3 linked regions of the Drosophila melanogaster genome follow. The protein of the gene in region 3 interacts with the protein of the main gene of each other region in a pairwise test. Each region holds a gene or a part of one and is shown on either strand. Other genes may lie near its edges.

Region 1 (7,198 bases), on a different chromosome or scaffold from region 3:
TCACAGAGGCAGAGGGCTTTCCGTCGGAGGCCGCCACCACGAGTCATTGAGCCGATTGAATATACAGCCGGAAAACGGGAACCACGCATTGGCGAACCTTGTGTAGCCCTAAGTATTGAGTAGATGGCCACAGGCGATGGCCTCTATGCATTAGACCTAGATTAGAGATCGCCGTAGTCGGCTCCGGTGTTCGGGATACCGAAGACCGATATATCGGTTGCACATCCGCCACGGAGCACATGCGACTACGGCCCTGTCTTAACGTGACTTAAACGTAATTGTAGGCACATCTAGCACGTAAGCAGCTGCGGCGCCCAATTCTACCATTTAAATGTCATGAGGCTGAAGTGCTAAAACGAAAAAGATGGGCTGCTACTCAGCTGGAACATATTCGAAACTGATGATCCACACTTGTCTTTTTCAAACAAGATCTCTAGGCCGTAATCAATCAGCAATAAAGTACCACAATAATCGAATAGTAGATAATAATCGTCGGGATTCCGTCAACGCGTTTCTTTACTCAGCTATTTTGACAAATGCAGGAAAATGCATCATCTCAGTTGTCTAAACTAGTTAAGATTGTTTGTAACAGCTATAACACCTAAAGTTTGCCAGTCTTTTGAGCCATGGCCAGTGCGTTCTCGTGGGCAATAACCTGGAACTCCTGGAAACGCTGCGAGACGCGTTGGTTCATCTTCAGATACTTTTCCATGCAGTTCAGCGAGCACTTCTCCTGTGAAATGGATGGGCATATTGAAATCGCTGATTTCCACATGGAGCTTCCCCACGGGCACTCACCTCGGAATCCTTAACATCCCGCGTTGTAAAGTCGCGTATGCAATCTGTGAAGCACGTCTCGGACAGTTTGTTGTAGGACATTAGGAAGTCGGAAAACTGAAAGTTAGAACCGAAAACATATCAAATGAAAACCACATTGCATCACTTGGCACCGCCGGTCCTTGGCATGAGATGGTATCTTCGTGTCAACTCTGCTTACCGTCTTAATTTGATCCTTGTCCAACTGATCGATGGCTATGTTTTCCGGTGTCTTAGCCATTTTGTTCTGCGATATTTTATTCAAAATTGCCGAAACGAAAAAGGGCCAATAATAATGTGCCTATATAATAGGGACAGCTGGGTGTGCAGGGTTGCCAGATGTTAAAAAGCCATTCCGTGTTCTCGACTTATCGATATGTTATCTTTTGAAGTATGTTATGTGAAGTATCTGGTTCGGCCGACTCAAAAATTAACCACATCTAGTTTTACTCTTAACATCGGGTATATGAAATTAAGCAAATGTATCCATACATAAATTAAGGTATATTTATAATAATACTTTAACTAAGTACCCTTAGGTTGTGAAACATTTAATTTAAACTATTAAATAGAATAAAATGATATTTCAAAGATCGATATTCCTATAAAATATCGATAGTCGCATATCTTATGGTCAGCGCTTTACGGTACTGCACCTCGTTCACTTTTCAACACTGGAGGGCACGCCATCTTTTTTTCCTCACAAACACTTTTTTCTGCTCCTGCTTTGTGGGTGTGCTCTTTGAAAAACCAAGGAGAATTCCCTCGGAATAGCATCAAAACAAACTGGAAAATTGACTTTGGACAAGTCCAGTGGTACAACAAATACCAAAAATCCATTACAGAACCGGAGGAGCAGCACCTCCAGCCACATACATATTCATACATAATGCCACGCTACCGTGAATGGGATTTAGCCTGCAAAGTTTACGTGGGCAATCTGGGATCCTCGGCCTCCAAATACGAGATCGAGAACGCCTTTAGCAAATACGGACCCTTGCGCAACGTCTGGGTGGCCCGCAATCCGCCCGGTTTCGCCTTCGTCGAGTTCGAGGATCGTCGCGACGCTGAGGATGCGACCCGTGGCCTCGACGGCACCCGCTGCTGTGGCACCCGCATCCGTGTCGAAATGTCATCAGGCCGTTCACGAGAGGGTCGCGGCGGTGGCGGTGGAGGCGGCGGTGGTGGAGGCGGATCCGGTGGCGGCGGCCGCGGCGGTGGCAGTGGCGCCCGTGCTGGAGGCGGTGGAAGGGCTGGCGATGGCGGTGGACGCTATAGGTGAGTACGGCACAAAAGCATTACATTTTGCATCCCCAGAATAAACCAGATAAACTAACTAACCAACCAACCAAAGCACCCACTTACTACCACTACCCCTCTCTCGAGATTATGAAATCATAATTTTTGCCATTATGTGCAAAAAAGTATGCAAAAATATATATATAAATAAACATATGTATACATATTTATATAGCGTGTGTGCTTGTGTGTATGTATGCATGTGAAAAATCGATTCGCGTATACATACAAAAGCGGTGCCAGCCAAAATACACACAGTCACACATACGGTGGGACACCACTGTTAGCCATACATAAACACACACAGTGGCGTCCGTGAAAAAGAACAGTCCTACCGCGCGCACACAGTGGCGTCCGTGGCCGACAGTCCTGGTTGCTTTTGCTACGTCAATCGATTCTTTTTAGCTCGTATTTTGTTTTTTAAGGGGAATCTTGTTTTAGTATCACATTTCATTGCTCATTATATGCACCCCGAGGTCCATAGTTTAAAGTTCAAAGAGTATAGCTTTAACTAGAGAAAACGTTTTGTTTGTTGTTTTTAGTAAAATTACAAAATACAAGAAAAATGAAAAGAAAATACAAGAAAACTTAGTAAAAACAAAGTAAATCGATCGCTTGGAGCCAGTTTTAATGTGGTCTCACAATCATTTTGCAGGATAAAGTCTTCTTCTTCTACTACAACAAGCACAACAAGAACTACTACAACAACAACATCAATAATAATAATAATAATGATAATTAAAAGAACAACAAAGAAAAAAGAAAAAACAACAACAGCTACTACTACTAGAACTTCTACTACTCCTCTTCCTTCAACAACAACAACCAAAAGAACAACAACAACAGCTACTACAAGAACAACTAGTACAACAGCAGATCCTGCTCCTCCTATTACACACATTTCACCAACAACAACAACAACTACAGCCACCACTACACCACCACCATGCAATAACAATTTGTTGTGCGGCCCTAACCAGAAATTCAACAAATTCGATATATTCCGCTGACCACAAAACCAAGAACCAGAACCAAACCGAACGACCGCAACACTACCACACCCCCTCCACCACCTGTTCAGCTCAACCCAGGCAAAAAAAAAAAAAAAGAAAAACAGAACAGAAAAAAATGAATCATCAGCAACGTCTTCGGCTCCGCAGCTTCAAGAATAATGCACCCAAAACCAGACCGAACACCACCCACAGTCACCTAACTATACATTCCACTATGGGGCACACGACTAGCTACAAACTAAAGAAAAGAAAACGATTTAAGTAATCTTCGATCTATGCCTATTTTGAATAGGATTTAGCTGCTAAACGTTGGTCTTTTTTCTTTGTCAAATAACAGAATATTGCTTTGGAATATAAATAGGATTTAGCAAACGAAGATGGTCGTATGCCCCACAGTGCATTCCACATTTCCACATCATTTATAGTCTGTTAGTTGGCAACATCTTCAGGCTACACAACAGACACACTCACACAAACAGCCATTAACCACACTAATCACCAAGAACCAGAGCGAACCGATCGTCGGCGGCAACAGAGCAACTTCATCAAGAATCCAAATGCCAAAATGCATCTATTGCATATTTATATATATATTATACACACACTCACCAGTCCAGCAACGCTTCAAAAAGTCAACTTCCTACGTCTCCAAGTTGTGCGGTTGTCTTCAGCCTGCTCCTACGTCCCCAACAAACCACCCACCACCTCATCATCCGTCATCTTTAGTGCAGCTACAGCATCAGCAACAAGCTACAGCTACAAAGACCAACTGCAACAACAGCTTCTACTTCTACTACTACTACTACTACTACTACTACTACAACAAGAACATCTGGCAGCCAGTCAGCAAATCGATCTCGAGGCTGAAAAGCCTTTGGTAGACTTTTTGTTGGTTCCACCACTCAGTAGTTGCACCTTTCCCTTGCAATCAAACCAAGATTGAGGCTGCTTCATGCTAATTCCTTCAATCGCAGCAAGTATGAAACCTTTGGCCGCCACCAACAACACTGTCCCTCGAACCGAAACGAAACGTAACGTAACGCCTCTAACAAAATCCGTTTGTTATACTCGTAATTGTAATTATGGTTGTTTTTTTTTTTACCTTTTGTTCTTGCATCCTAACATCTACTGAGATAATCTTGTTCGCGCTAATTGTCTGCTCTCTGTGTGTAATATACAAGTATATTGTGTAAATGTGTGTTTATATGCATTGATCCGATCAGCTCGAACTCACAGTCAGACAGTTCACCAACAAAACGACCCCACCAACAATCGACCAAAGCACCAGCAGCATCAGCAGTTCAGGGCAGGGCAGAATCTTCTTCAAGCTCGCAACTTCACAGCGCGGATGGTAGGAGCTGCACCGCCACCACCACCAAACCACAACCACCAACCTGATCCTCTCTTGCTGCTAACTGATGCTTCCCCACCAACTGCTTCTTCATACGACCTACGTTCTTCGGCTGCTGCAACAGAATAGAATGATTCACCAATATATCCACCAACAACACACACCAAAAAAAAAGAAATAATAATAATAATAGAAACACAACACAGCCACCCTAGTCACAGTCAATCAGCTCAGTATCGTATCAACAACAACAGCCCAAACTACAACAGTTCAACAAGAACCTACTACTACTACTACTACTATTACTACTACTACAATTCAACAACAACAACAACAACAGCCTTCTCAGTCTGCTCTGCTCATCAACCAACTAAGCAACCTACCAACAAACCAATCAGCCACCAATCCAACCAACCACCACCAATTACTTTATGTAAATGTCACACCAACGCTTTCGTTAATGGGGCAAAAAAAAAATATATATATATATATATATATCAGCTATATCTCCACCACCTTCAAGCACCTTCAGCCACCAAAAAAAAAACTGAAAAAAATTACTGCCAGCTCTCAGCTCCGCTCAGCTCAAATTAAAGCTCCAATGTCAGCTCTCCGATCCGTATCCGATCCACCAGATCCGTCAGCCCAAGTTGTGTGTTGTTTGATCGAGACCACTCTTATCAACTTTACGTATCTTAAGGAATTGTTATCTAACTACACGACTAGTTAAGTTACTCATTGGTGCAAAATCTATTTAATTTGTATTTTCTCTTTCTCTTTCTCTTTCTTTCTCACCTCTCTCTTTCTGTGTCCTGTATGTGTGTGCCGGGCCCAATATGTTTTTCCCCAAACGCTACCCATTTCATTGCAGATCACGCTCACCCCGCCGCTCAAGGACACGCAGCCGCAGCTTTTCGAGGGATCGTCGCAGTCGCTCCGACTCCAGGGACCGCCATTAGATGAGAAGAGTAGTAGTGGGATGCAGCCCAAAACTGGACTCCACAACACACACATATATATAGATATATATATATATTATACATATACAGAGATATATACATAAAGTAGTACGGCCCCAGAGTTGAGGACAAAAAGGATCTGTTTTGCCAGACGAAAAATGGCTCAACAGATTTCTGAAGTTTGACTCAATAAATTCGTCCCCCTCCATATAATAACCCCCCCCCCCCCACAGAGAACAAAACCAAAAAACAAAAAAAAAAAAGGTATCGAGCAACTTCACAAAAGACCACCACACAACCCAGCCATCTCTTCGATCCGAATGGTTCGCTAGTATAGCCACAGTACAACTATGGTACACATTGGTTTTTAGGCCTTAAGACTTTGGTAGATTTTAATTCAGAAAATGAAAAGATAAAAAGAACAAGCCACCAGCGCAACTACAACTACAACACACAAAGAGTGAGGCATCCGATGAACAATGGATGTCAAAGGTAAATTTATTGTATGTCCGCGAACCTAAATTATTTATCCACTTGGTTTTTACCCTAAATCTGTCGCAACACAAAACATGTCAAGAGAAAAGTGAAAAAAAGGTACTATATGCGATTGTTTGGCGTAAGTGCAAGTAGTTACATAAGTCGTGAAATGAGAATCAATAAATTGAACCTAATTTAAAACCGAAAATATACACAATGGGTGTTTTTAATGGGAATGTCGGGATTTTCAGCTTTTCTTAAAAACAAATTACAAAAGGATACCCATTGCCCAAATTGAAATTAACGCAGCGCTGGCTTAACAATAATAATTATTTATTTATTTTCAAAGTTTCTTCTTGTCTATAACAATTAGTAATGACTTGAACGCACACACATCATATGATTTTCGTGATCGATTCGCGGGGGATAAGCACATGCAGGGCTATATATATTTATGTGTAGATAAATATAAATATACACAATGCAAATAACTTTCGTTTAGAACAATATCAGAATTTTCAATTATGCGCCGACCAAAAGATGGTAAACTACTTTTGGTTCTAACAAAAATTATTGTCAAATCTCCGCCAGGAGTTTTCGTTCAATTAAGAATCAAAGACTACATGGTTAAGTGGGTTAATTGCTAACTGGAAACGTTATCGTGGCGATAAAACCTGCGCGGGTTGGGTTCACAAATCATAGGGTTTTAAAAATGTTTTTATATATTTCTCATATATATCTATATATGCATATAAAGAAGAGCTTAGAAGCATTCAGCTATGACACAGTAACAAAGAGGAAAAAAAAAAAACAATTAGGGTAATTTAAATTTTTAATCCTAAGCCGGAGGATTGACACTTAACACAGGGATCGAGGACGGGGAAGTTGGCAGCTGATCTACTTGTACTTCTTCATGAACTCGGCGTGGAACACACGGAACTTCTCCATCATCAGCTTCAGCTTGTCCGTTTGCGGGAGGATCGTGCTTCGGAAATGCCACGTGCCGGGCTTCTGACCAAATCCACTGCCAGGAACAATGCAAATGCCTGGGAGAAAATTAAACAATAAATTGAGAGACTAACAAACGAGGTCAGCAAAGAAAACTCACCGCTCGTCTCGAGCAGCTCAAATGCGTAGAAAACATCGGGGGCCATGCCCTTGGCCTTGGCCGCCTCGATCGCCTTGGGCGGGATCTCGATCTGTGGAAAGACGTACATGGCGCCCTGTACGGGGTTAACCTTGTAGCCTTCGAAGCTGTTCAGTGCCTTGTGGACGAGCTCGGC
Region 2 (8,633 bases), on a different chromosome or scaffold from region 3:
ACTAAAGCCACCATCTGATCTATTTTTTAATACACATTACAGTTTTTGAAAATATTTTTAAAAATAATGAAAAACAAATGTGCAATGCATTAGGTGCACAAATAAAAGTGGTGCCTTCTCACTATGGTTTTATGAAAATAATGAATGTTTTGTTTTTTAAGCATTGCAAGTGGACTGTGATAGCTAATAGACAAAAAAAGCAAGCTAAGCTCAGCATTCTATCTCATAAATAACAAAAAATATAATAAAAATAACTTAATTGGGGAACATGGAAATGTTAAACATTAAAATATTTCATGTCGACTCGAAGGTCATATAAATATAGGACCCCATTACAATTGTAATGGCCTCCTCACGGTGACCCTGGACACCGATTATTAAATACATTACACATAATTAATTATCAACATAAATATAAATATGTAAACGGTAGCCAATTTGAGCGTCGATTTTAACAAACGAATTTAAAAAACTTTAAAATTATAATAGTCAGGGAGTGAATTTTTAATTATAATTTAAAATAAGTAAATTCGTTTCTTCGAGCAGAATTGATGTCGGCCAGAAAATCGTCTTCTTACACAAGTACGCACACATATGCACGTTCTCGTCTCTTGTTTTTACTCACACAAGCAAGCAAATTCTATTTTTAGAGTTCTTACGCTCTCAGCGTAAGCGAGCGGACAGAAGGCAATTTTGGCCGTCACCAAAAAAGTGGCTGCATAGTGCCAAGCCAATGTATGGCAGTTACGCATCTTGTTATTCTAGTATTCAAAAGCCAACAAACAAATATTTGTGGGATAACCGTTGACACCAAACTACCACGGAAAGAACATATCACAAGAAAGGTCAAGCTTATAAATCACAAAAGTTGGCAATTGTACTGATTGCTTAAAAAAAAAGTAATCTTTCCACCAAAAACAAGCTCCTCCTGTACAAGGCTATAATTAAACCAGCGTGGAAATACGACATTGAGGTGTGGCAGCTTCATACCCAGACATCAACAATATCTTCCCTTTTTGGGATATCCAAAGATATTGGGAAATAAAATGAGAAAAAATTTAAAAACTGTTTAAAACTGTGGGCGTGACCGTTTTGGGCGTTTTTTAGGTGTGGGAGGAGGCGTGGCCAAAGCGTTTTTGGTACACCCATAAAAATTGGCCAGACAAGGAATAGAACGAAGAAAAAATCGAACAATTTTTTAAAAGTTTGGGCGCGACAATTTTGGTCTGTCGATTTTGTGCATTAGAGTGGAAGTGGCAAAAGGTCAAATCGATAAATATTTGTTTGTCAAGAAACTGTGAAATAAGTTGAATTTTTGACTTTAAAGGTAAAAATTAAGGGTTCTTTGCTTAATTAAACACAATTTTTTAATTCAATATAATTAAACAATATTTATTTTACTTATAAATCAAAAAAACAAATTAAAAATATTAAATATACAGGAAAATAAACAACAAATTCCAAGTCTACACACTTTTGAGCCTGTGAAGAAAACATTAAATCGAAGTGTAATCGAAGTGTAATTATTAAATTATTTTATTAAAATTTAAAAAGTTTTAGTATGTAGTATGTTCCCCATTGGCTTTGGCTACAAGTTGAAGCCTTTTTCATGGAATGAATAAGTTTTTGAAGGTCATATTCAAGCGGGATCTTTTCACACTCTTCGACTATTGCAGTCATAAGCTGTTGTGTTTTAGGGCCCTTTTTGCCACCTTTTTATTTAAGTAGGTCCACAAATTTGCAATGGTGTTTAGATCAGGAATCTGAGGGGCGTATCGATCACTTTACCACAGTTATAAAGGAGCCATGTGCGTACATTGTATCTTTTTGATTCGGATCATTGTCCTGATAGAACTTAAAATTTGGCTTGTTGTTGCTAACTAGACAAAATTTTTTTGCACTGGCCTTAAAATTTGTTTTTAAAATTTTCAGATATTACACGGGACTTATTGTGCTTTCAATGAAGGCTAGTTTTTCCAATCCACGGCTGGAGATACAAACCAAACCATCAGTGACATTTTTCCAAATTTTGTCGTTGGAATGATATTTTGTTTTTCTAGCGCACTCAACGGCTTGCGCCACACTCTGCTTGGCCCATCGTTATAAAAGAGACCAATTTTAGTTTCGTCACAAAATATGACGTCATCCCAGTACTCTTCCGGATGATCCACCATGCTCACAGCGATTGAATGATTCTTTTCAATATTGGCCTCTGATAGCAAAGACTCCTTGCAACTCTTGAAGAGTACCTATGGCGTACGATGAAAGTAGGAAAACAAAATGTGTAAAGAGTTTCTTGACAGTCTCAAAAGTGTGTAAACTTGGAATTTGTTGTTTATTTTCTTGTATATTTAATATTTTTAATTTGTTTTTTAATTTATAAGTAAAATAAATGTTGTTGTAAATATGTATTGTTTATATGTTCGGAAACGCTTCCTTCTGCCTGTTACTTTTCAACGAATCTTTTACTCTACGAGTAACGCGTATAAATATCAAAACATTTTTCAAAGGTGTGCGCGTGGCTACTTTGGGTGGTTTGTGGGCGATGGAGTGGACGTGGCAACATGGGTCAAAAAGCTTGCGCTTCGTCTATGAATCTAGGAACTTTTATAGTTCCTGAGGTGTCGACGTTGATCAAGAATATATAAATGTACTTTATATTTTCGGAAACGCTCCATTATGCCTGTTACATACATTCGATACTCTACTCTACGAATAACGAGTATTATAATAATACATTTTTAGCTCAGTCTTTAATCTAAAGCACAAACTTATAGATTCCAGTTGCAAATGTCAGGCTCGGTATGGCTGCGACTGAGCTATGATTTACATTACATTATTTATTCAAATCAGCTGTCCTGAAATACAACATAAATCCGGTGACGTTGAGGGTGGTATAGAAAGAAAAACAACGATCCAAATAGCTCGGTTAAGAACCTTCAATAAATTAAATAAAACTTTTAGAAATATCTAAATTAAAATGAAAAATTAAAAAAAAAAATTTTTCGATAAACAAGAATACATATTTTAGACATCATTTTATCAAAAAACTATCAAAAACTTATTTTCTATTAGTGATTTTGTATTTTGAATCTTTTGTAGAGAATGCGAAGAAAGTAATGAATGCTGGCATTGACATTGAGTACTCTGATCAATTAAGGCGTATCAAATTATTATAAAATGGCTGAAGGAGTTTGATGGAATAGTGGCAGTTGACTAGACACAAAGGAAGCAAATACAATAATTAGATTTGTGAAATATATTATAGAATACGAAGATGCGCATATACCTTAAAATTTGATATATGTATATAAAAAAGTGCATTAAATGCGGTAAGATATAATTAAGTGTAATGATAAGAGGGATAAGCCATTCACAGGTCCCGTCACAGTCCAGATCTTCCATACATTATAAAAAGAATCGTGGCAATCTGCTTTATGGGAGATCCCAAAAAGTTGATTGGCATATCGATAGTACCTGGTCAGTCCCATAATGTAATGGACAGTTTTGATCTGTTTGAGCTTGCGAACCGAATGCTTTACTAGAATGTTGCTTCAAATAGCCTCCATAGTTACCGGTATCTCAACATTATGGTCGAAACGACGGAGGGATATCGCAAAAGCGACTAGGCAAGTGTTTCTAATTGAGATTATATTACATTCATGGGTCAGAAACTCTTCCTTATATCTATTGCATTTACAAAATAAGCCACTTTTACGTTAATTGTTCGCATTTGCGTCACAATTTAAAGTGCGTATAAATATTGTATTATATAATTTACTACTTAAACTGGCAAAAGGTTTATATATTTAAACAAACGTTCTGTGGGGTTATGAAATAGTGCCAATAAGAAGTGAGGGACCGACATGTGTGAATCGGGTATAAAGCCTATTCTTAAATTGGGTATGCGTGAAAAAGGGTTGAACTGGTTAATTTGTACAAAAATATTTCGTTATCTTAGCATTTTCGGAATTGTTATTTGATTGCTGTAGCCGCGCACAGTGGAAAAACTGTAGAGGCTTTAAAAAATGGGGAGAAGGAAGTCTAAAAGAAAACCGCCTCCGAAGAGAAAGAATATTGAACCCCTTGATCAACAATTTAATTGTCCATTTTGCAACCATGAAAAATCGTGTGAGGTTAAAATGTACATATTCAGGACAGTTCTGATTCTACTATTATTCGACCGAATATGTAGACATATAGATTTTATTTGGTTCTATATGTAAGTCCAAAACCTAAATTTATTAAAACAACTCTTTATTTTATAATTTCAGGGATAAAAGCAGAAATACAGCGAAAATAACTTGTAGGGTGTGCTTGGAGGATTTTCAAACGGGAATTAACTTCCTTTCAGAACCTATCGATGTTTACAATGATTGGGTAGATGCCTGTGAAACAGCAAATTAAATGGAATTAATTTTAAGTTAGTTAGTAAGTAAAATAAATTGCTAGAGCCCTCTAAATTATACCATAAAATAAGTTTAATACAAAAAATTTAGCATAATAGCGAGATTGAAATAAACATTTTTGACTTATTAAAATAAGCTGAACCCATGAAATTCTAACAAATTTTTGTTCTAGGAATCAATTCTAAAATATTGATATTGTATTGCGCAAAGGAGATTCGTAGAGTGAATCTGTCCGTCTATCCGTATGAACGTCTTGATCTCAGGAACTATAAAAGCTAGAAGGTTGAGATTAAGCATACACTTTCTATAGACATCGACTCGTCGTAAGTTTGTTCACCCATGTTGCCACGCCCATAAATGACACAAAACTACCATGCTCACACTTTTGAAAAATCTGTTGATATTTTTTCATATTTTTAGTGTTGTAGATTTTTATCGATTTGCCATAAAACTTTTTGCCACGCCCACTCTTACGCCCTAAGCCGCCCAAAATTACCGCGCGCACATTTTTTAAAAATTTTTGGATATGTTTTCATAATTTAATTAGTCTTGTAAATGTAGCTTAAAGAAGCTGGGTTCGGAAATATCGAATTTTTGATGTTTAAAAGCAGGAATCGTTTGCCCATTTGCCCAATTAGTCCAGTTTTTGAGATATGAATTTTCGAAAAAGTTCAAAAATTTTCGAAAATCAAAAAGTTGACTTTTTTCAAATATTATTTTTTTTAAATCGCAATAACATTGTTTGCCTACACTTTGGAATTTTGAAAAAAATGTATACTTTAGAAAATATAAGTCATTTAAGTTTACCTCCACTCAGAGAATAAAGCGTTTGACCAAAGACATTAGAATTTTATTATTATTATTATATTATTATTTATTATTCCAGTGTCTTTGGTTTGATCATATATTAAAACGAAATATTATCAATAAAAAACGTTTGCCCAACCAGTATTATTAGTTTTTAACGTTTGACCACCCTCAAAAAACCTTTAACAAAATTTTTTTCGATTGCCCTCTTTAAATATATCCAATTTCACTAGCCCACCTCTTTAAAATAAAAATGTTCAATAAAAAACGCTTGACCATCCTTTAAAAATAAATTATTTCGTTTGCCCACCCTTTAAAAATAGTTTTTTTCGTTTGCCCACTCTTAAAAATAAATAAATTCGTTTGCCCACCTTTTAAAACTAAATAGTTTCGATTGTCCATCCATTAAAATTAGTTTTTAACATTTGCCCACTTCTTTGAAATAAATATTTTCAAACGATTCCACCTTTTAAATCTGAAAAATTCGATTTTGCCGAACCCAGCTTCTTTGAGCCGAATTTCCGTCACAACTAAGCTAAAAAAGGTAATATTACCAGAGCTAACGATCCCTATCACTTTTTGATGGATTTAGGGAAATCAATTTTTAGGTAAATTTTCGCATGTTTTGTAAGGGGTCATCAAAATTTGCAAAATATGGCCAAAAAATTTAATTTCCATTTTTGAACACAGTTTCATTGGAAATTTTATTACGATCTGAGGTATGACATTCCATATTCAGACAATTATTTTAAGGTTGTGGCAAAAAAACTGATTATTTGATGACCGAAATTTGGAATAACGGATTTTTTGATTTGGGTCATCAAAATTTGCAAAATATGGCAAAAAAATATAATTTCCAATTTTCAACATAGTTTGATTGGAAATCTTATTACGATATCAGCGAGGTATAACATTCCATATTCAAACAATTATTTAAACGAAAAAACTGATTATTTGATGACCGAAATTTGGAAAAACGGATTTTTTGATTTGGCTCATCAAAATTTACAAAATATGGCCAAAAAATTTAATTTCCATTTTTGAACACTGTTTGATTGGAAATTTTATTACGAGCAACAAGGTATGGCATTCAATATTCAGACAATAATTTTTAAAGTTTTGGCAAAAAACTAATTATTTGATGACTGAAATTCGGAAAAACGGATTTTTCCACAAAGTTGATATTTACAAACGGAATTTTCGACATAACTTGGCTAAAAATGGTCATATAGATGTAAGAATAACTGTTAATTACCAGTGCTTACTATCTCTAACATTTTTTGAAGGATTTAGGGAAATCAATTTTTGGGTCAATTTTTGCATTTTTTGTAAGGGGTCATCAAAATTTGCAAAGAATGACCAAAAATTTAACTTCCTTTTTTGAACACAGTTTGATTGAAAATTTAATTACGATCTGAGGTATAGCAAGAAAACTGATTATTTGATGACCAAAAATTGGAAAAACGGATTTTGCAAAAAGTTTATATCTGCTTATTATTATTATTATATCTACTTATTATTCCACAAAGTTGATATTTACTAACGGAATTTTCGACATAACTTGGCAAAAAATGGTCATATAGATGTAAGAATAACTGTTAATTACCAGTGCTTACTATCTCTAACATTTTTTGAAGGATTTACGGAAATCAATTTTTGGGTCAATTTTTGCATTTTTTGTAAGGGGTCATCAACATCTGCAAAGTATGACCAAAAAATTTAACTTCCATTTTTGAACACAGTTTGATTGAAAATTTAATTACGATCTGAGGTATGACATTCCATATTCAGACCATTATTTTTAAAGTTGTAGCAAGAAAACTGATTATTTGATGACCAAAATTTGGAATAACGGATTTTTTGATTTGGGTCATCAAAATTTACAAAATATGGCCAAAAATTTAATTTCTACTTCTCAACACAGTTTGATTGCAAATTTTATAACGAGATCAGCAGGGATAACATTCCATGGTCAGACAATTATTTTTTAAGCTGTGGCAAAAAAACTGATTATTTGATGAACGAAATTTGGAAAAACGGATTTCTCCAAAAAGTTGATATTTACAAACGGAATTTTCGTCATAACTTCGCTAAAAATGGTCATATAGATGTAAGAATAACTGTTTTGAGAAACTAATTACCAGCGCTAAAGATCCCTATCATTTTTTAAACATTTAGGGAAATCAATTTTGGGTCAATTTTCGCATTTTTTGTAAGGGTCATAAGGGTCATCAAAATTTGGGAAAAATGTTAAAAAAAATTTAATTTCCATTTTTGAACACATTTTGATTGGAAATTTTATTACGAGCAACAAGGTATGGCATTCAATATTCAGACAATAATTTTTAAAGTTTTGGCAAAAAACTAATTATTTGATGACTGAAATTCGGAAAAACGGATTTTTCCACAAAGTTGATATTTACAAACGGAATTTTCGACATAACTTGGCTAAAAATGGTCATATAGATGTAAGAATAACTGTTTCCAGCAGCTTCAAGTTGACTTTTTTCAAATATTATTTTATTTAAATCGCAATAACATTGTTTGCCCACACCTTGGAATTTAAAAAAAAATGTATACCTTAGAAAATATAAGTCATTTAAGTTTACCTCCACTCAGAGAATAAAGCGTTTGACCAAAGACATTAGAATTTTATTATTATTATTATTTGATTATTTATTATTCCAGTGTCTTTGGTTTGATCATATATTAAAACGAAATATTATCAATAAAAAACGTTTGCCCAACCAGTATTATTAGTTTTTAACGTTTGACCACCCTTCAAAAACCTTTAACAAAATTTTTTACGATTGCCCACACTTTAAATATATCCAAATATATCCAATTAGCCTACCTCTATAAAATAAAAATGTTCAATAAAAAACGCTTGACCATCCTTTAAAAATAAATTATTTCGTTTGCCCACCCTTTAAAAATAGTTTTTTTCGTTTGCCCACTCTTAAAAATAAATAAATTCGTTTGCCCACCTTTTAAAACTAAATAGTTTCGATTGTCCATCCATTAAAATTAGTTTTTAACATTTGCCCGCTTCTTTGAAATAAATATTTTCAAACGATTCCAGCTTTTAAATCTGAAAAATTCGATTTTGCCGAACCCAGCTTCTTTGAGCCGAATTTCCGTCACAACTAAGCTAAAAAAGGTAATATTACCAGAGCTAACGATCCCTATTACTTTTTGATGGATTTAGGGAAATCAATTTTTAGGTCAATTTTCGCATTTTTTGTAAGGGGTCATCAAAATTTGCAAAATATGGCCAAAAAATTTAATTTCCATTTTTGAAAACAGTTTGATTGGAAATTTTATTACGATCTGAGGTATGACATTCCATGTTCAGACAATTATTTTTAAAGTTGTGGCAAAAAAACTGATTATTTGATGATCAAAATTTTAAAAACC
Region 3 (7,847 bases):
CGAAAATGTCTTGGCTGCAGAGGTTTGGGCAACAAATTATAATGAATGTTATATACGATTTAAATCATTCGATTTTATAAAATAGATACTTTCAGCATTAGCAGAAATTTATTGAGGTCCGACCAACCTCTTAAGATATTAACCAAAACGCACTCTTCTCCCATTAACCAAAAACAAAAATGTATTACAAAAACACCTCTTAGAACAGCGACAGTACGGACCATATCAGAAATATGAGCAACACGCATCCCAACTGGAACCACTTGAGAAAACTAATTTGTGCTCCGATCCAAGGGTACACCATTGGAATAAGCCTTATAGCGCAGTGAAGATCCCTCTCCCTGCGAATATCAGGGAAAGTCGCTGGGCACCCATCTACAGGATCGTTGACCGCGAACCAACAGGGAAAATCAGTATCAGAGAGATACAGTCCCGTCGGGCGAGGCACTGAGCCCGGCTGGGCCGGCACATTATTATCCTCCTGACGGGCATTGGGTCCCTCTCCATGGAAGGGCATGATGTCCTCGTACATGAGCAAATGTCGTTGACAGCATGGACATCTTGGCTGTGCTGTACCACTCAATTTGGGCCACAGGCAAGTCCAGCAAAACAAATGACCACAGATGGTGATCACACCACCACGCACATACTGGTTGCACTCATTGCACACATAGGGATCCAGATGCAAATTCCTGCGACGGTAGCGAAGTCTAGTTCCAGGCAAGAGGTCATCTTCGCCATCATTTTCCTGCTGCTGTTGCTGATTGACGTTTGCGTTGGACAAGTCTGGTATATAACCCTTTGAAATCACCTCACCTGCTCACCTTGAACATTAATAATTTTCCATTTAATTGGAATGCCTCACCTTGAAGGCCATGACTAGGATTCTCGGCAGTTTCATTCGCTGGAACTTCTTCATTTATATAGCAATGATTTGGTGGATCATTTTCTCTAGCAACTGCTTCCATTTCAAAATCTTTTTGTGATTATTGTTTTTAAAAACCCATGCTCCAAATTACATAAATATAAATTTGTGCCTGGCAAATTTGTGACAACTGAGTCAAAGCAAACGCGACTTTTTATAATATTCTTAACACAGATCTTAGGTACAATAGTAATTTTATTTCTCGATTATATGAAAAGCAAGACATTTTCAGCGACTTAAATTTGAGGGCATATTAATTAATGACTAAGTTTCACCGTAACATAGTTCATGCCAGATTTTGATTGTTTTGCAGACACTTAGTGATTTATATTAAAACCATTCCAGCATTCCGTCCAAGAATTGCAAAACAGCGAACTACACACGCCGAGCATTTGACAGTTCCGGAAAAACGGCGGAAAATCGAAATTCGTAGCATTCGCCAGATGTGTGACATATGGCGGCATAATTTATGCGAAAATTGAACCGGATAGTGAGTGGAAACTTCGCGGTCCGTTGCCGCTGCATTTAAATTCTGACAATTGTTTGCATTGTCCTGGCAGCACGTCTGCGGCATTGTTTAATCCCGATTTTTCGACATCGATGGGGACCATCGACTGCTTGTTAATTGACCCACATTTGTGAGCTGAGTACATAATTAAAAGAAAATAAAGCGCGGGACGGTCCAAATAAACCCGCCGACAGGCGTTCGCACACATAACAATGACAATAATAATAAAAGTGAAGTTTCATAGCGAAATTACACACTCGAACAGAATTAAATAAAGAACTATTACGCAGTGGTGTAAAATAACCTGTTCTTGTTCTGAATAAAAAACAAGCGGGAGTGTTGCGTGGTAAAATATAATGAAATTTAAGTTTTTAAGACCATCTATAAAATATTTTTAAAGTACTATAATTATATGGTAATGCGTAGCAAAGTATTTCCGAAGCTTGTGGACACACCGTGCGCTTTTTACTTACCCAGTGAAATAACAACTAGCGGAAAATAATGCATATTAATAGCGACTTTTTCACATATTACACAACTGCCGACATTTATCAGGCATTAATAATTACGTGTTAATACGTGAAATATGATTAAATTTTTATCAGTTTACATGAATCACTTTCGCACGTTTGCGTGCGAACAAGGACATTTTATTGGCTTCATTTGGCGACGGACCGCAGAGAAACTGACGTTTGCCCAATCGGAATTACAATCGCAATGCCAGTGGTTCTGCGTCATTTGGCATCCTATATCCCTGTCCACAAAGCGAATCCTTTAGCCTGTCCATTTGCCTGCTGTGAGTGGAGGGGCGTAATACACTGCGTATACGTAATGGGGGTGCCCCAGCGTATACGCAATAAAAAGTGGTAAAGCCGAGCGATGGCACAAGGATAACCGCCTGCGCTGGCCATTAAATGCAACAATAAATTCGGCAGTTCAACTCCAGTCAACTTCGTTGGCATGCCCGAAATTTAATTAGTTGGCATTTAACATTAAGCATTTCCACTGGCGCCGCGGCTGTCATTGGGCTTTGTTTTCGTTTTGCTTTTTATGTTATTTTTCAGTTAATTAAACGCACGCCAACATCTCGCCATTCTAAATTGTGCGCAATTAAATTTGGAATTACTTTCAACTGAGTATTCGCGTAGCTCTCGCCAGCGGCGCGGCAATAACTTAACTTGAAATTTTATTGTAAGCCCCTGCCTTGCCAACTGTCACTTTTGATGGGCAGCCATTGGAGCGTAATTAGGCTACTACAACGCTCCTAAAAACCCCTACCCAAATTACCAACCCCTTCTCACTACTTGTGCCAAAAAGCTAACTTTAACTTTTCCAGCTTGGCAAGCCTTTAAGTTCGTACCTAACTTCGTTTGTCTGATGCTCGAAAGTGCACTGTCTGCCGGCTTCATTATGCAAAATGCAATGGTACACAAGCCGATGTGAAGAGGCTGCTTGTCTCCCTTATGAGTTGCACTGTTCAGACTTATCCTGGCCAGAATGGTATTTTTTTGGGCCCTGATGGTGCCCAAGCACTCACACATACACTGCATACACTGATGGCATTTTCATAATCGAGAAAAAAAGGTACCGAAAATGTATGTAATGCCAAATTATTAAGACCCAGAATGAGTAAAAATCTTGGAAAGAAAGAAAATTTCAAACTTCAACCCTATTAACTAACATTTATTACATAGAATTACAAAAATATATTGTATAATTATTCTCAAGGCAGGGCATGCCCACTGCGACTTGGATAAACAATAACAGAGATTCTCTTACACTCGTATATGTTTTTCATATCACCTGCGAAGAAAGCACACACACAGAATCGGTGTGTCATGAGTGAAAAAATAAAGGAGGTGAGCAGTTCGTGTCTGTCTGTGCCAAACGAGGTACGAGTGCAATATTTATATTATTGCAGCTACGGCGCCACATTGCAGCGACATGAAATGTTTGGCGTTGCATAAAAACCAAACTTAATGTGCACTCCCACGGGAATGAGGATGAGTTTATTGCTTTTGCGACTCGAGGTAACGCATTCTGTCCCGTTTGTGTCTTCTATGGGACTGAATGATTGTCACAATGAGTAACACCATGATCACGATCAGGATCACCACGCTGATGGCCGACATGCTCAAACTGACCGATTTGGAGGCCATTGCAAAGCTGCTAAAGAGGAAAATTAGTTCCATGGAATCTCCTAGCTTTGAAAATGAAACGCCGGTTAGGAAGTAGTAGGTAGAAGCGCAGTTAAACAGTATCATAATCAAAATCATGGCCACCAGCTGCAAAAATGGGATATTTAAATGTTCGAAATTAGACTTCACCTCCATTTGGCCGACCACCCACCACCAATCGCATGTGCAGACGGGTCCTGGAATAATTCGAGTGGTATAACCAGGTGCTCATGGCGTAAATCAGGCAAATGTAGGCAGTTCCCACGCAGACCACTTGATGGCCCAGCTGCTCATAACTGACGTGGAGGGGCAGGACGTTCCCAAACACCGACGCGTTCAGCACGGAAATGATCTGCGGAGCAGATGACTGGGGTGAGTCACAAGGTCAGATATTAGATGGCAGTCAGGTGCAACTAACCGCCGTGAGGAATAGCAATAACGATACGATTTCCTTGCGGGAGAGTAACATAATGGACGTAACTGGTAATTTAAAAATACTGCAACAGTTACTGATGTTTAACTCAAGGATTGATAAGTCATTTTCTACTACTCATTTTTAATGTGTATTATTCCAACAGGAATGATGGAGTAATTTTAGGTGCATCCGTTTGGTGAATTGCCAATCCCCTGCTGTTGTAGCTCTGTTCTCACTTCATATCCTTTCGAACAAGGTCGTGTTCCCGTCTTCCTAGATTGCCGGCCTATTTGATGAGCGCAAAATCATCGAGAACAAATTGAAATTTGCACCCATCGTGGAAGCTTATCTGCGCCACGCAGGCACTTGCAATGCCACCCATTCCACACAAATGGGAGCGGCAGGCAGCCGGCGCTAATTCATCAACAGTAAAGGCAATTTAGATACTCATCTACCGGATATCGACAGCCAGGCAGCCGGCAGAAGGCACAAGGCAGCCATGTAAGCAGATACCCTCGTCCTGTTCCGAGGACTCCAACCCATCCATTCCGGCGGCTGAGAGCAGCGCGGAGCGTTCTGCAGACAGGGTTTCATAAAATATTGATGGACGTGAAGTTGGCAGCGCATACTCGCTTCCTGTTCCGTGTCTGTCGCAGCCATAAATAATTTGCTGTAAATGCAATCGTGGGGTTACGTGGGGCATGGCATGGGCTACCCTGTGGTTCGAAGTGGGCGCTTTGGGTGCCAGTGGGTGGTGGGAGGTGGGTGGTCATCCGACGGTGGGGGCAGTGGTACGATGCTAATGGCAAGGCGCACGGTGCGAAAGTGTTTCGTATGAATTATTCGCCGGCAGCCAATTTGGAGTCACGTTTGCCAGCACAATTGAAACTGAACACCAACCATCGAACCACCGGCCATAGTGTCAATCCAGTGCTGGCGATTGCAGATAAGAATAAATAGCTATTTCAAAGGGAATCTCGAGTATATATAAAATGAAGAAAGCTTTGGTTATCTAGCTGAATGCAAGGATCGATTGTCTTATTAAAATTGATCAATAATTGTTAAAGACATAATCAGAATTTTTAGAGCAAATAAAGAAACGTGAGAATATTATAATTATTTTGTTAAAATTCAGTTTTATGGATATGGTAAATGTCTTACAAATATATTTGGCTTCTAATCTCTATACATAATATCCTTGATATTCTTAGCTAATAGCTAAGGAAAGTCTATTTCAACAGCACTGCCTTCCTGTTGTGAACCGCCTGTCGAAATGGTGTAATTTGTTATGTCTGCCACTGTAGCCGACCATGTCTATCTTCGGCCCGGGCTGCTTTTTAATAGCCATTCTCCTGCTGGCCGACTGTTGCTCGGCGGTTGTTGTGCCTTTATCGCCGGACTGCCTCCACTCCACCGTCGCCTACTCCTGCTCCTGCTCCTGAGTTCGTCCTGCGCCGGCAGGGTAATGTGTATTTAATGACGCCATCTCATGTACAATGCCCGTATCCGTTCTGCCATGATCCTGGCCTTGTCGACGGACACCGGTTGTCCTCCAGCGCCTAATGTCCAGTGACCGCAGCCATCTGCAGGATAATGCCCCGGCTCCTGGTCGACGGGTGCCAATAAAGCTGCGCCCGCTGGCAGGCATTTCAATTTCGTGCCTGCCCTGCTTTTTTCAATATTTTTAAACGGCAGCCATAAAACGTGAGCGGTAATGTGCGGACAAGGCTGTTTAATTGTACCCCTGCCCTCAGGGCAATCAGCAACTGTTTGTCTCAGATTACGATGGTAAGTCTCTCGATGTGTTTAAACAATAATTGAATTTAAGTACGTTCTCCAAACAATAGAATAGAAGCCCAGAAGAGCAATTCATATCTTGAAACCAGTGCACTGGCAAACTAGTTTGACATGTATGTTCGCCAAAAATTCTTAAATATTATATACTTAATGAGATACAATAGGGTTTTTGGTAATTTTGGGCAACCAAGACATACAGTATCTTTATAAAATCAAAAGGAAATTATGATAACTAAACTTTTATACACAGCTTCCATATCTAGTGATCTTTATTTTCTAGTCATTATCGCAATCTTATTATTATCACTCCGAATATCATCATATTTTTTTTGTGTACATTACTAATATATATTATCCCTAAATCCGTACAGGGCAACGATGAGTCTAAAGGATCTCAATCTGACCAAGGAGCAAATGATCAAGCTTCAGCAGTTGCTGGCACAGGAAATAGAGGACGAAAGCCAGCAGGAGCGGAATGAGCTATCAAACGATGATTTCATAGCCAATGCACTGGATAAAGTGCAAGTTTATGTGGAGGCTGGTAAGCCAGAGGCTTTTGTCCAGCTCAAAGAACCGCTATTATACAAATTTAAGATTACCTCAAATGGAGTAGCTACTGGATCTTCGGAATCGGATAAGTTTCAACGCGCAGACGCCAAGGAAATTGCTCGCTGGAAATCTGACCATGTAATAAATTTGGATTGCATTTCAGACGAGGACTACGAGCAGTTAAGCCAAATTCAAACCGATGAAAGTACTGGAGAAACCTACATGCTCGTGCCCATTGATATAAACATACTCATTGACGATACCGAAATAACTCCTGATACTTCCACAAAGCGTATCACCGAAAATGACGCCTACAATGCGACGGGAGCGGGACACACCATCTATATGCATCCCGAACAAGAGGGGCATCAGACTGGTTTAGATAGAAATCCTCAAGCTAAACACGCTTGCCCGGCTCCGCCAGAAGAGCAGACCAACTACGACTACCACATGCACACTTTCGAGGTGCCCAAGCTGAGTTTTCCCTTTGAACTCAAGTTTGGTATTGATACTGATCGATTGGTGGGTGGCAATGTGGATAAATCGGCTGAGGACTCGGGAAAATCAGATCACGACGACGATCTGGGGGTAGCTACCGAGCTTCAGGACGTCCTAGAGGATTTAGAGGTATAAAGATCATCTTGCTTTTTAACGCCATCAAGGAAATCATTTAGAACAACAAAATTTGTAACTAGCTTTCCAAGTTAGGTGCCTCTCGTTAACTAAATCTTTGTCTTAAATTATAAATATTTTATGAAATTATGTACAAGCTAAAATAATGCTACAGTATTTACAACTTTTTTTCGTGTAAGCATTCCCATTTCCTAAACGTAAGTAATGTGATTTAATTTAGTAGACCCAATCTAACCGATTCAATAAGCGTTCGAATTGCTGTTGCAGTAATAATAATGCTCTTAAAAGGGGTTGGTAAGTAGCCTACATGTTCAAATGCTTAACTAAATGGCACTTCCTCTCAAACAATTGCACCTAATTGCAGACACTTGACCTAAGCTGCATAACAATGACCGTCCACCCAATTAACCCCCCGATATCGGACTTATATATATATATATACATATCGACCAGCCCGCAATGCAATCTCATCCCCTGTTCAATACAATTTCCATTCAGCTTGCAGCACGGCAAAGAGAATATGATAAGAAGCAATGGAAAATTTGCATAAAGCTTTTAGCCTAACGACGCGACATTTGTTTTTTATGTGATTCATGGACCACCCTCACTTTATGTTCATTTTTTTCCATTTTCATCGCAGAATGCAACAACTACCAACTTCCGCACAATTATTCAGCAATTTTAAGCACAACAATCGGACGGCAGAAGGGGTCGAGCTGGGATCTGGCGGAGATCTGGTTGCATGCCTGATTGCCTGGGGGCCAAAAAGCTAGGTCCTTCGATTCCGACATCGACTTGGTCGCTTAAGCAGATTGAAACAATCTCCGGGCTGGGTAAGAGCTT

The links.
Region 1: the proteins of CG14380 (region 3) and Tim9a interact in a two-hybrid assay, tested with the Drosophila melanogaster proteins (one large-scale study listed by BioGRID).
Region 2: the proteins of CG14380 (region 3) and CG40228 interact in a two-hybrid assay, tested with the Drosophila melanogaster proteins (one large-scale study listed by BioGRID).

What each region holds. Positions count from the first base shown.
Region 1 is NC_004354.4:13,379,196-13,386,393, reverse strand, and holds Tim9a (Tim9a), read right to left. Parts: upstream 1,185-7,198; 5' UTR 1,058-1,184; coding exon 998-1,057; intron 895-997; coding exon 799-894; intron 734-798; coding exon 602-733; 3' UTR 501-601; downstream 1-500. Other genes in the region: Ype (yippee), read left to right, coding at 1-50; Rbp1-like, read left to right, coding at 1,706-2,094, 2,771-3,125; CG1640 (uncharacterized protein), read right to left, coding at 6,813-6,961, 7,024-7,198. UniProt on the Drosophila melanogaster protein: Mitochondrial intermembrane chaperone that participates in the import and insertion of multi-pass transmembrane proteins into the mitochondrial inner membrane.
Region 2 is NT_037436.4:27,079,235-27,087,867, reverse strand, and holds CG40228 (uncharacterized protein), read left to right. Parts: upstream 1-3,961; 5' UTR 3,962-4,028; coding exon 4,029-4,144; intron 4,145-4,274; coding exon 4,275-4,407; 3' UTR 4,408-5,777; downstream 5,778-8,633. UniProt on the Drosophila melanogaster protein: Transcription elongation factor implicated in the maintenance of proper chromatin structure in actively transcribed regions.
Region 3 is NT_033777.3:13,184,822-13,192,668, reverse strand, and holds CG14380 (uncharacterized protein), read right to left. Parts: upstream 4,151-7,847; 5' UTR 4,080-4,150; coding exon 4,029-4,079; intron 3,963-4,028; coding exon 3,783-3,962; intron 3,719-3,782; coding exon 3,443-3,718; 3' UTR 3,101-3,442; downstream 1-3,100. Other genes in the region: CG8141 (uncharacterized protein), read right to left, coding at 200-816, 866-968; CG8508 (uncharacterized protein), read left to right, coding at 6,201-7,004.